Drosophila melanogaster: one gene and its partner. The protein of the gene in region 1 interacts with the protein of each later gene in a pairwise test. Each region holds a gene or a part of one and is shown on either strand. Other genes may lie near its edges.

Region 1 (6,850 bases):
CTCTAGATAAGCAATAATTTTAATGTCTTCGGAATGTCCGAGAATCGTAGGACCTGGATCGTAGATTCTTCCAAATGAATCACACCGATTTTAATCAAAAGGTGGTAGTAGTTCGCCAGGGGGAACTGCGTCGGATCAGGCTCTGTTGGGTTATATTGCAGCGATAAGGTCCATTGCAGCGATAGGGAAGGTGCTCGAACTCGGCTCGTAGTGCTCCATGAATATTACTAGAAAGCAAACAGAGGGGAGTCGAGTCAAGTCGGGCAGAAGATATCCACTACCCTTCCCGCTCTTTTTGGCCAGAGGGATCGGGCTGGGTTGTGCTGGACTGAGATGGGTTAGTCAGTGTGTCAAGTCCGGGCGGGAATGGGTCGGTATAGGACGGTATGGGATGGGCTGGGATGGGTCCCATGTCCCATCCTGGTTGTTTGTTTACCTTCTTGTTCCGTTGCAATTTATGAGTGCACGGCGATAAGGGTTTATCGTGGCATGGTAGTGGTGGAAAACTGCACTCTGCATCTGAGTGACGGCGATAAGATAGCGACTCCTGGAACTACTCAGCTCAGCTATCGGTCGTTCAATTCGAATTCGCTGCATTGATAGCGTCGATAGCGTCGATGGAGATAGTCAGCCATCCGGGCGGCCCAATCAATATATAAATGATTGTTGGAGGTCAGTTGCTTGAGTCAACAAAGGTTGGGAAATGAAAACTAATTTATGGTACTTTTTTTCCTTTTTCTTGTATTTCAAACATTAAAATAGTCGATTTTGGTTGTCGTTGACGTTGTGTTTGTTTTGCATGATTTATAATAATATTAATTTTACTAGCTTTAGAGTTGGATTTTAATTCTTGCGTTGACATTTATTGAATTTTATATTGTGTATTTTACAATAATTTTCATTTGTTTCTGTGTCTGTCAGTGTCAGTATGTGTGTGTGTGTGTGGGTGTTTATATTTAGACTATTTTTTATCAAGTTTAATTAATTAGCTTAGCTCAATGTAAAAATGGGTCTTTGTTTTGTGTTTGCAATTGGTTTTTTATTTTTCATTACGCACAATATAACTAATATTAAAAATTATTGAATAATAATTGCAGTTTCGCTTTTTATGTGATTTTTTTTCATTTTTGTTTTTTGCTTTCATTATTTATGCTAATTAAACGTTAAATGCTATACAGTATTTATATTTATACTATGTTTACTTTCAAGTGGTGTGGCATAATTTCATACAATTTGATTAATTCTCGAGTTAGTTAAAAATTGGTTGCTTGCAATGGGTCCTTAGTTAAATTGGGTTTCTTGGGGAGGGGGTTGCTTAAATGTATCTATTTATAGATTATTTACAAAATGCCTTAATCTAACGAATTCGTACAACAACAGAAGACACATAATGTAAATGAAATGCGGGATTTTGCGATACATGGGCGTATATCGATGCGCGTATATATAAATGGAAATTTGTTAAATTATTCAGTTAAAACGTGTCGTTTTCTTATGCATGGCCAGATTTTGTTGCTTAGATAGTTGAAGATTCTTAGGGTTTTGCTGGACTGCTCAATATGATGATTTCGGTTTTAGATTTCTTTTTGGTTTTGATCTTTTGCGATTCGAATTCGATTGCGATTGCCTTTGGATAAAGGGTTTAGTATTTGTATCTCTCTTTTTGGGACTGTTTCATTTGGGGCTTTGTTTTATGAAAGAACATTACACACGATCCCTTCTTTACATCTCCTCTCCTCAATCTTCTCCTTAATCGGATACATTTAAAATGTGATTTCAAATTTTCAGTTATAACCGCTTTGATTGTTATTGCTTGTTTCGAAACAACGAAAACAAATGGCACGGAATTATTATTTTGTATTTGTATTAGCAAAACGTAAAATTGTTAACAAAAGTTCTGCTGCACTTACAACTACATCACGGTTTCTTTCGCTCCTCCTCCTCCTGCTCTATGTCGATTTAATAACCCCCCGGAACAGAATCTATATAATCTACAATATATAGTACTGGAACTGAACAACACAAAAGGCAGCGCTCTCGATCGGCTCTTCATAGGTATCTCTATATGTACAAGTGCGAGTTGCGGCCCAAGACTCACGTGCTCAAAGGATGAGGATGCGAGTGCGGATGCGGATGCGGCCAGGTGCTAAAAGCCACCGCCACTGCACTCGCTAATTGGCAGGCCCGCTACAAAGCCGCTGCCTGTGGAGATCGGGATCTATAGCTATAGCTACAGAAGATTCTGCAGAGCGGCGGCTCCATTGAAAGCCAGGCCGTGATTCCAATTTCTGTAGCCTGCCGCCGCGGCATACTGCTGATAGTTGTTGTACAACTGCTGCTGGGCGGCCTGATGCTGCTGCAGTTGCTCCTCGCTCAGATCGCTGGTGATGTTCGATGAGTCCTCCTGCAGTTCCTGCAGCAGTTGTTGCTGCTGCTGGTGGTGTTGCTGCTGCGCCGCCGCCTGCTGTTGTTGCTGCTGCTGGTGCTGCTGTTGCAGCTTCTGTGAGTAGTTAGAGCCCGATCCTGAACCCGATCCTGACCCAGATCCCGAGGCCGAAGCCGATCCCGCCTTGCCGCTGGCCTTTGCTGATGTTGCTGGTGTATTGGAAGCGGATGTCAGTTGCTGCGCCGACTGCTGCATCTGCTGCTGCTGCTGATGCAGCTGGTGCTGCTGCTGTTGCTGCTGGTGTTGCTGGTGCTGCTGCTGCAAGTGCTGTTGCTGCTGCGAGCGCAGCATCTGCTCCGCGCGTCCTTAAGCCAGCGGGTATTGGTGATGTCACAAGCTCGTGGTTCCGGCGGGCGCATGGTAGCCAAGACTCTGGTAGTAGGAGTCCTGGCCTAAGGCAGCGTGTGAGTTGGTCAGCGGACTGAGGGCGTTGTAGCCGGCGTACTGGCTCATGTCGTACATCTTGATGTCCGCCTTGGACTCCGTGGGCAGCAGGCGGTTGATGGAGAACGGATGGCTGGAGGGCGTGTAGCCAGAGGGCTCCTGCTTCAGCGGATGCATCGACGAGTGGTAGTCGGTGATCAGCGACGGATGGCACCGATTGGCCATCATCGCCGACAGCTCCTCCTGCTGCAACTGGTGGTGCTGATGGTGGTGATGTGTGGGCACATGCTGCGGCTGCTGGCTGAGGCACAGTTCGGCATTGGCATGCAACATGGCCAGGGCCTCCGCGTCCTTGCTGTGCGCTGCACTCAGGACATTTACGCCGGCGATCGATGCTCCGCCCGCCTCCTTGTGGTGCTGATGATGGTCCAGCCGGCTGTGGTGGTGGTGGTGCATGTGGTGCGAGTCCTCGTGATCCTTCTTGCCCGGACTGGTGGCCTCCAGGCTGCTGTGCGACGGACTCTTGTGCAGCTGCCTAATGGCCTCCTTCTTCTCGTCCTTGAAACGCTTCTGTCGCCGCAAATAGCACCCGTTCTCGAACATATTCCCCGAATCCGGATGCAGAGTCCAAAACGATCCCTTTCCTGGCTTGTCCGGCGTCCTGGGAATCTTTACGAAGCAATCGTTGAAGCTCAGCGAATGTCGAATGGAGTTCTGCCAGCGCTGCTGATTCTGCCTGTAGAACGGAAACAGATCCATGATGAACTGATAGATCTCCGAGAGCGTCAACATTCTGGTGGGGTTATTCTGAATGGCCATGGTGATCAGTGAGATGTAGCTGTATGGCGGCTTGGCATGCGTGTAGCTCCTTCTGTACGTAGTTGGTTTGTCCACCCGCGATCTGCCTAGGGAATTCGGCGATCCCGTCTCCATTTCCCGGGATCCCGGCGGCATGGCGCCATAGGTGCCGCTCAATCCCGCCGCCGACATACTCGCTGCCGACATGGCCATGCAGCCACCCATGTTCCCGAGCGGTGATCCCATGCTGGCGTAGCTCATCGAGCTGGGGGTCATGCAGTTGCCGCCCATTGAGTTCATGGCCGCCGCACCCATGCTGCCGTTCATGCTGGCATTCATGCTGGCGCTCATACTGGCACTCATGCTGGCGCTCATGCTGGCGACCGCCGCCGCCGAGTCCAGGACGCTGGAGCTGAATGTGGCCGCCGCCTGAGGGGAAACCGATGACATGCCACCCACCGGCAGGCCCATGCTGTTCATTGTGTAGGCGGATCGAGCCAGGGGACTCATGCTGCCGCCGTTGCTCGTCGGATTCGGGTTGTTATTGCTGGGCGGTGGGGGCCCACCGCCTCCTCCTCCGCCGCCGCCTCCACCGCCGCCCGACGGAGGACCACCGCCACCCGAGCTGGCCATGCTCACCGGAGCACTGCTCGGAGGCGGCTCCGCGTAGAGCTTCTGCATGATGTCAATGGTGGTCTGGTGGGGGCTACCCTTCAGAAAGCTGTTCAATAGTTGCGCCGTTATGTTGCCGGCTTTCGGAGGCGCTGCCCTCTGGTGGATCGATGGAAAAGGCAACGCGTTCTGCAACGCGTTAGTTAAAACGAAAATCAAAAAGGAGGTCTTTAAAACGTGGCTTTACTCTGATATATTGTATATCAACTGTGATTTCAGTGCACTATCACTGCTTCAATCGGTTTGCATATATCTGGCATTTTATCGAGAGCACTTCGGCACTTGTCACTTGTTGGCTGGAAGGTTCTGATTCCGTTTGCGATTCTGATTCTGATTCTAAGCTTTGTTTGTAAACACACACCGTGGTTTAATTATTTGTGCGGGATAATCATATAAAATATATATTTATTTTCTGTTATGATTCGATTCTTTTTGTATTTTCTTTGTATTTTTGTATGGGGATTTTTGTTGTCTGCCGCACCGAGCGGCCACAAAACACCGACGCACGAACGTGAATATCTAGCTGGCTGTTGGCCACTGAAGTCTGAAGCTGGGAGTTGTGCTGTGCTGTGCTGCTGCTTTTGCTGCTGCTGCTTTTGCTTTTGCTGCTTTGGCTGATGCTGCTGTTGCCGTTGCCGCTTTAGCTGCTGGTCCGCTCGAGTGTCTCTTTGGCTTGAGCTCTTGAATGTGACTGTTTGCAGAGGGGAACGCTTGTCTACTATTTGGCTTGCGCTTGCTGCCAACAAATATTGTTCGAGCCGCGCTCAAGTGCCTCGGCCGACGTCGGCGTCGACAGCGGCGGCAGCGGCAGCAGCGACGCGCCCGGGCAGCACCAGCTCCGACTCGTTCTCGCCAATGGCCCGGCGGTATAGTGCGTCTCACCACCACCCTGGCGGAGTTACCAATGACAGGCGGCGGTTCTCTTACGTACACAGTGGTGCTGCGGCGCAAGCGCATTGGTCGGTTGGCCTCTTGTATCAACAGAGCAGGGCCGGTTGCCAGGCAACTGGCCATTGGGGGGGCGTGGCCAGGCCGCAGTCAGCAACGCCCTCCACTCACACACCCTCAGCGGTGCGGACAGAGATACACGGGCAGAGATACCGGATACGCATACAGCTGCAGATACATTCGCAGTGGCCTAGCCTAATGCTGAGCGACGCCATGTTACAGTTAACGATTTTCCCTAATGCGATCAATAATCGCTCGCTCTCCTTCTCGCCGTAGCGTGCTATCAGAAAATAAAAAGAAAAAATGTGGAAAAAAAACCATTAAGACGGGTTCTGGAGACCGAATCTCTGGGGAGACTGAGAATGCGACGACGCTCTGTTTTTCGAGAGAAACAAAAAGACCGAGTGTTTTGGCCTGGCCTGGCCTGGCTTGGCTTGGCTGGGTTTGGCTCCCAAACAAGACATTTAATAATATCTGTGTGTGTTTTTTCAGCCAGTTTTTTTTCGTATCCGTACCGCTTTTTCCCTTTTGAGGTTAAGGTATGCCAATGTCACTCTCATTCATTCCCATTCGCATTCGTGGCGAGGCATCGCGAGCGGCAGCAGCAAATCATCAGAACAGCGGCGCAGTTCACCTTTTTGGCAAGTCATTGCGAAAGTGACCCAGTTCTGCATCTGGCCAGCATCAGCCGCATCTCATCCGAGCATCCCACTGCATCCTACCTAAGATACCCGAAACATAAGCATCCACAGTTCATTGATAGCGCGTGCTGGCAGCTACTTCCTGGTATCCTGGCAATTTATCCACGTTTATGGTCCCGGATAAAACGCATTCTAATTTCGGGCCATAAACCATAGACGCCTTTCCTATTCCGCTTAACCCTTTCGCTTGGCCAAGTGTATCTGCGAGTGCCTGTGTGTGTGTGTCCGTGTGCGAGTGTGTGCCAATCCGTGAGAGTGTATGTGTGTGAGCCAGGCTCATTATTGCGTGTCATAAAAGGACGATTGTCTCGTTTCTCAATGAATGTTTTGCTCAATTAAGATCTACCTGAGCGGGAGGAAAAGCGGGGAATTTCCGCATTACTTTTCCATTTGTCAATGCAGCAGTTCTTTCTCCTCTCACTTTTTTGTAGCCTTCATCTAGGCGCTGAGACATTGAATTTTTGAAATTATCAATGAAATGTAATGAAACATTTCGCTTGTGGGAGAAATCACATTTTTATGATCGCCCCATTTCCGAGTAATTATAATGACTAATGACTTATGTCATATAGAGCCGTTTCCCCTTCACAAAAGCACTACTGAGTAATATTTTTATCATATTCAAGATTATCTTCAAATTGTTTGAATAATTGTTTACAATAACCATGGGTTAGATAAGATTGAGAGATAAGCGAAACTGAATCAGGAAAAAATCTTTCGCTCAACAATGGTATTCATAATATTTAACCTGTTTAACATTGTTTGGCTTGCCACTCGGATATCTATATCCCATCGTGATGATCATTAAACATCAAACACTTTCGGTGACTGAGCACATATGTACTCAAATCCTTATGTGCACTTCTAATAACCGTAATGTGCTTAAATATTTAATATTTTT
Region 2 (4,084 bases), 620 kb from region 1:
AATAATCATCATTATCATCGGAGGCGACGGTGGAAGTAGCATAAGCCGTGGCAACATCATTGTGCCTCGTGAAGGGATTCATTAATCATACGCCACGTTGACCCACATAATGTAATGCGCGCATAATTGTCAGGCGGACAAAAACTTGCCGGATAATCGCACAAAAGGCATTATGTAATTGATTTATTTGGAAAGAGCACACCCCTCATCAATGGTCCACAAAAAAAGGCATCAAACGGCAAAGACGCCGCACAGTGACAAGCTCAAAAAAGCCAAAGAAAAGCTGTCAATGCTTTTTATGCAACTTTGTCAACTTTGTCGGCAGATAACACTGGCCAACATAGACAAGTGCCAACTGTGAATTAACCACACAAAACTTATTTTCCGGACACTTGTCTCATTTGTCATTCTACCAAAACCAAAATATGCAAATATGGGTATTAATCACAAACAGACAAGCAAAGTTTATGGACACATCTTGCACAAGATCTGAAATCAATCATCATAGTACACTAAGGGAATTAATGCACAGAATTATAAGCTATAAAATGTATTATTTTCTCCATAACCATTTGATTTGAAAGTACTGTAGTCCAGTGTCGTCTCACCTTAAAAATCATCTGCTAATATTGCCTAATCATTGTCTACTAACTATTTATAGACTTCCTTGCGAATAAATTAGAAAAAATCATGACTTGCGAGCAACCATAAGAATTAACATTTTCACTTTTCGCTGCAGGGGCACTGTGCTACAGGAGTACGGAACGTTTTGGAGCGACATTGTGAACAAAGTGCAGGCGGAGCGGCCATAACTGAAATTATGTACTTACTTTTAAGGCAGCCGGGCAATAAATCTTAAAAACCCTAATTAGTCAAAACGAAATTGTTGTTTGAGGATTTTTTTTCGACTGCCATTCACCATTCCGACGTCTTGGACGTCGGACGCCAAAGGCGCCCCATTGAGCTGTGCAATCAACATTACAGGGCAAAATTATTGGCTTTTTGGCTCAGCGCTTATGAATGACCAGCCCACATCCCAGCGCCCAACGAGGCGAACCAGTTCCCGTCGCCCACCACAGACAGCACCTTGCCACCCACATCCGCCCACATCCTCCCACCCACTCCACTCCAAGTCCGAAATGGAACGCACGAGCCGAGCACGTTTGGGTTTCCAGACACGTTGGCCAGCTTCTCATAGGAAATTCGTTTTGGGCGCCCCGGCAAATTGGAAACTCTAAGCACCTTTCAGGCTGGCTGTGCTATAAAGTAATTAGACGGCCAACGAATTTGACCAAGACATAGGCCAAGATAAGTATTCGTAGCATAGGTCTAAAGCACTTCTGATTGATTGCCCTTACAACAATAGGAAGCGGATAAGGATAAGGAATCGGTTTGCAGATATGACCAGGCGTGCAAAAGAGTTCGCGGAATTGCTAATCGGCAGACGGTTTGTTTTGCTTGAAATTTACTACCAATTATGGTAGCCAACTTACTTAAGCCTTAGTTAAATATATAATGCCTAATATTGGTTATACTCTACAGATAATTCAATAAAAAGCTATGAAATCATAAACTCACTGTCGCATGCATCGAAGCTCCACTGTACATTGCACTTACACATTTCGCTTGCAGCTTGTTTACTCGCCTGCGAACTCAGTCGCTCGCTTGTTATTGTCATTCCAGCGAAAAGTGCATGGCAACCCACGCTGGCTTGGGGGCGGGGCACACACACGATGAAGTGGGGGGGTTACTGGGAAGCACTTTGTTTTCGTGCGTTGCACATATGTACATATGTATGTATGTACGTACATATGTAATTATATACGTTAGCCGACTTGTTTTGATCGAATTCGCCGTACCGCCGCCTGCCTTTGTCTGGCTTTATGGACTCCACAGGAGCGCAGCCCAAAATGGGGGGCTTGGAGTCGAACACCCTCCCGGTGGAGAATCCGTCCCTGGAGCAACCGAGTTCGTTGTCCAGTCGGGCGAATTTGAGTCTGGTTTTCCGCACGCGTTTTGTTTACTGTCCGGTGACTTGTTGCTGTTCTCTGTGCCCGCCTTCGTCTCGTTTATCAGCGATTGCGAATACTCGCACGGACTGCTCAACACTTTAGTCAATATTTAGCCGCTTCCCGGAGAGGTTCATAGATCGCAGACGCACTACATAGTATCAGCATGGTTATCAACTTCGCCGCCGGTCCAGCCAAGTTGCCCGAAGAGGTCGGTGAAATGGGTGGCACCACTCCACACACGTGACGTGTAATAGTAACCTTGATTACATGGTTATCTCTATCTGCATATATAGGTACTGAAAGAGGTGCAGGAAAATCTTGTCAACTGCAATGGCAGCGGCATCTCGGTCATGGAGATGTCCCATCGCTCCAGCAACTATGCCAAGATCCATGATGCGACCATCAGCGATCTTCGCGAACTCCTCAATGTGCCCAGTAACTACAAGATTCTGCTGATGCAGGGCGGTGGCACCGGACAGTTCGCTGCAGTGGCTCTGAACTTGATTGGCAAGACTGGCACTGCTGATTATGTAATCACCGGCTCCTGGTCGGCCAAGGCGGCCAAGGAGGCGGCTCAGTACGGCACTGTGAACGCGGTGCTGCCCAAGTTGGCAAAGTATACAACTGTTCCACGACAGGAGACCTGGAAGCTGGACCCAAATGCCTCATATGTCTACTACTGCGACAATGAGACCGTAGAGGGCGTGGAGTTCGACTTTGTGCCCGAGGTTCCAGCCGGTGTGCCACTGGTGGCCGATATGTCCTCCAATTTTCTGTCGCGTCCCTTCGATGTCTCCAAGTTTGGCGTTATCTATGCGGGAGCCCAGAAGAATATCGGACCAGCGGGCACCACGGTGATCATTGTCAGGGACGATTTGATAGGCAAGCACTTGAAGATTACGCCCTCCATCCTCAACTTTGAGCAGATGGACAAGAACAACTCCCTGTTAAATACTCCGCCGACCTTTGGGTGAGCCCAGAATGATACATGGCTGGTGAATTCTTTGTTAAACTTTCCCCTTGCAGCATCTATGTGATGGGCCTGGTTTTCAAGTGGATCAAGCGGAACGGAGGAGTCGCTGGTATGGCCAAGCTGGCGGCAGCCAAGTCCAAGTTGATTTACGACACGATCAACCAGTCGAATGGTTTCTACTACTGCCCAGTGGATGTCAATGTGCGTTCGCGCATGAATGTGCCCTTCCGTATTGGCAGTGCCAGTGGAGATGATGCCCTGGAGAAGGAGTTCCTGAGCAAAGCCGAGGCCGAGGGCATGATTCAGTTGAAGGGTCATCGGTCGGTGGGCGGCATTCGAGCCTCCCTCTACAATGCTGTAACGCTGGCGGAGACCCAACAGTTGGCCAATCTGATGCTGGCCTTTTACAAGAACAATAAAAATTGAACAGGTTCATCTGTAATTTGTTGGTTTTTGATCGTTTACAAAAGGCCGCGTTGGCGGAAGATCTCGTCCAGCTTGAGCTCCAGGTTGGCGTTGGTTCCTCGCAGATTGTCCACCACCTTTTTGGCCCAAACGAAGTACTGATCACGACGCTCCTGGAATGAAAATATGTGATCCATAAGGTTCCGTTTTTCAAACCAAGATGGGCCCAAATACCTGTGTCCACCCTGTCGGTGTGTTGACTTGCAGATCCCTTAGGTTATCCAATTTGTCAGCCAGCTTTATGAGCTTTGCTCTGCAGCTGCTTTTGGCTGCATTTTCTATTTGCAGGCGTTTTCTCTCCTGTTTCTCCAGGGACTTGTCGTCCGTCACCTCCCTCACTAGTCCACAAACATCCGGTCCAAAGAGTTTCTCAACATCCTCGAAAGATGCGTCCGTATCCTCCACGACATCGTGCAGAAGTGCAGCCATTAGGACTCCCTCATCTGTGATGCAGGCCTCCACGGAGAGAATAGTGCTCACATTGATCACATGGTTCACATAGGGGGTTTCCTGAGGATCCTTGAAATGTAAAAAAGATAGTATTCATGTTTTAAATATATCATTTGTTGCGTTTTAATAAGCTTACCTTGCGACGTTGCTGCCGGTGCTTAAAAGCTGCATATTGGAGGCACTC

The links.
Region 2: the proteins of fkh (region 1) and CG11899 interact in a two-hybrid assay, tested with the Drosophila melanogaster proteins (one large-scale study listed by BioGRID).

The regions. Positions count from the first base shown.
Region 1 is NT_033777.3:28,580,245-28,587,094, forward strand, and holds fkh (fork head), read right to left. Parts: upstream 5,021-6,850; 5' UTR 4,310-5,020; coding exon 2,777-4,309; coding exon of another isoform or gene 2,231-2,776; 3' UTR 732-2,230; downstream 1-731. UniProt on the Drosophila melanogaster protein: Fkh promotes terminal as opposed to segmental development. In the absence of fkh, this developmental switch does not occur. The nuclear localization of the fkh protein suggest that fkh regulates the transcription of other, subordinate, genes.
Region 2 is NT_033777.3:29,198,346-29,202,429, forward strand, and holds CG11899 (uncharacterized protein), read left to right. Parts: upstream 1-2,108; 5' UTR 2,109-2,175; coding exon 2,176-2,220; intron 2,221-2,305; coding exon 2,306-2,982; intron 2,983-3,038; coding exon 3,039-3,411; 3' UTR 3,412-3,425; downstream 3,426-4,084. Other genes in the region: CG14515 (uncharacterized protein), read left to right, coding at 740-812; Mesh1 (metazoan SpoT homolog-1), read right to left, coding at 3,447-3,563, 3,625-3,969, 4,037-4,084. UniProt on the Drosophila melanogaster protein: Catalyzes the reversible conversion of 3-phosphohydroxypyruvate to phosphoserine and of 3-hydroxy-2-oxo-4-phosphonooxybutanoate to phosphohydroxythreonine.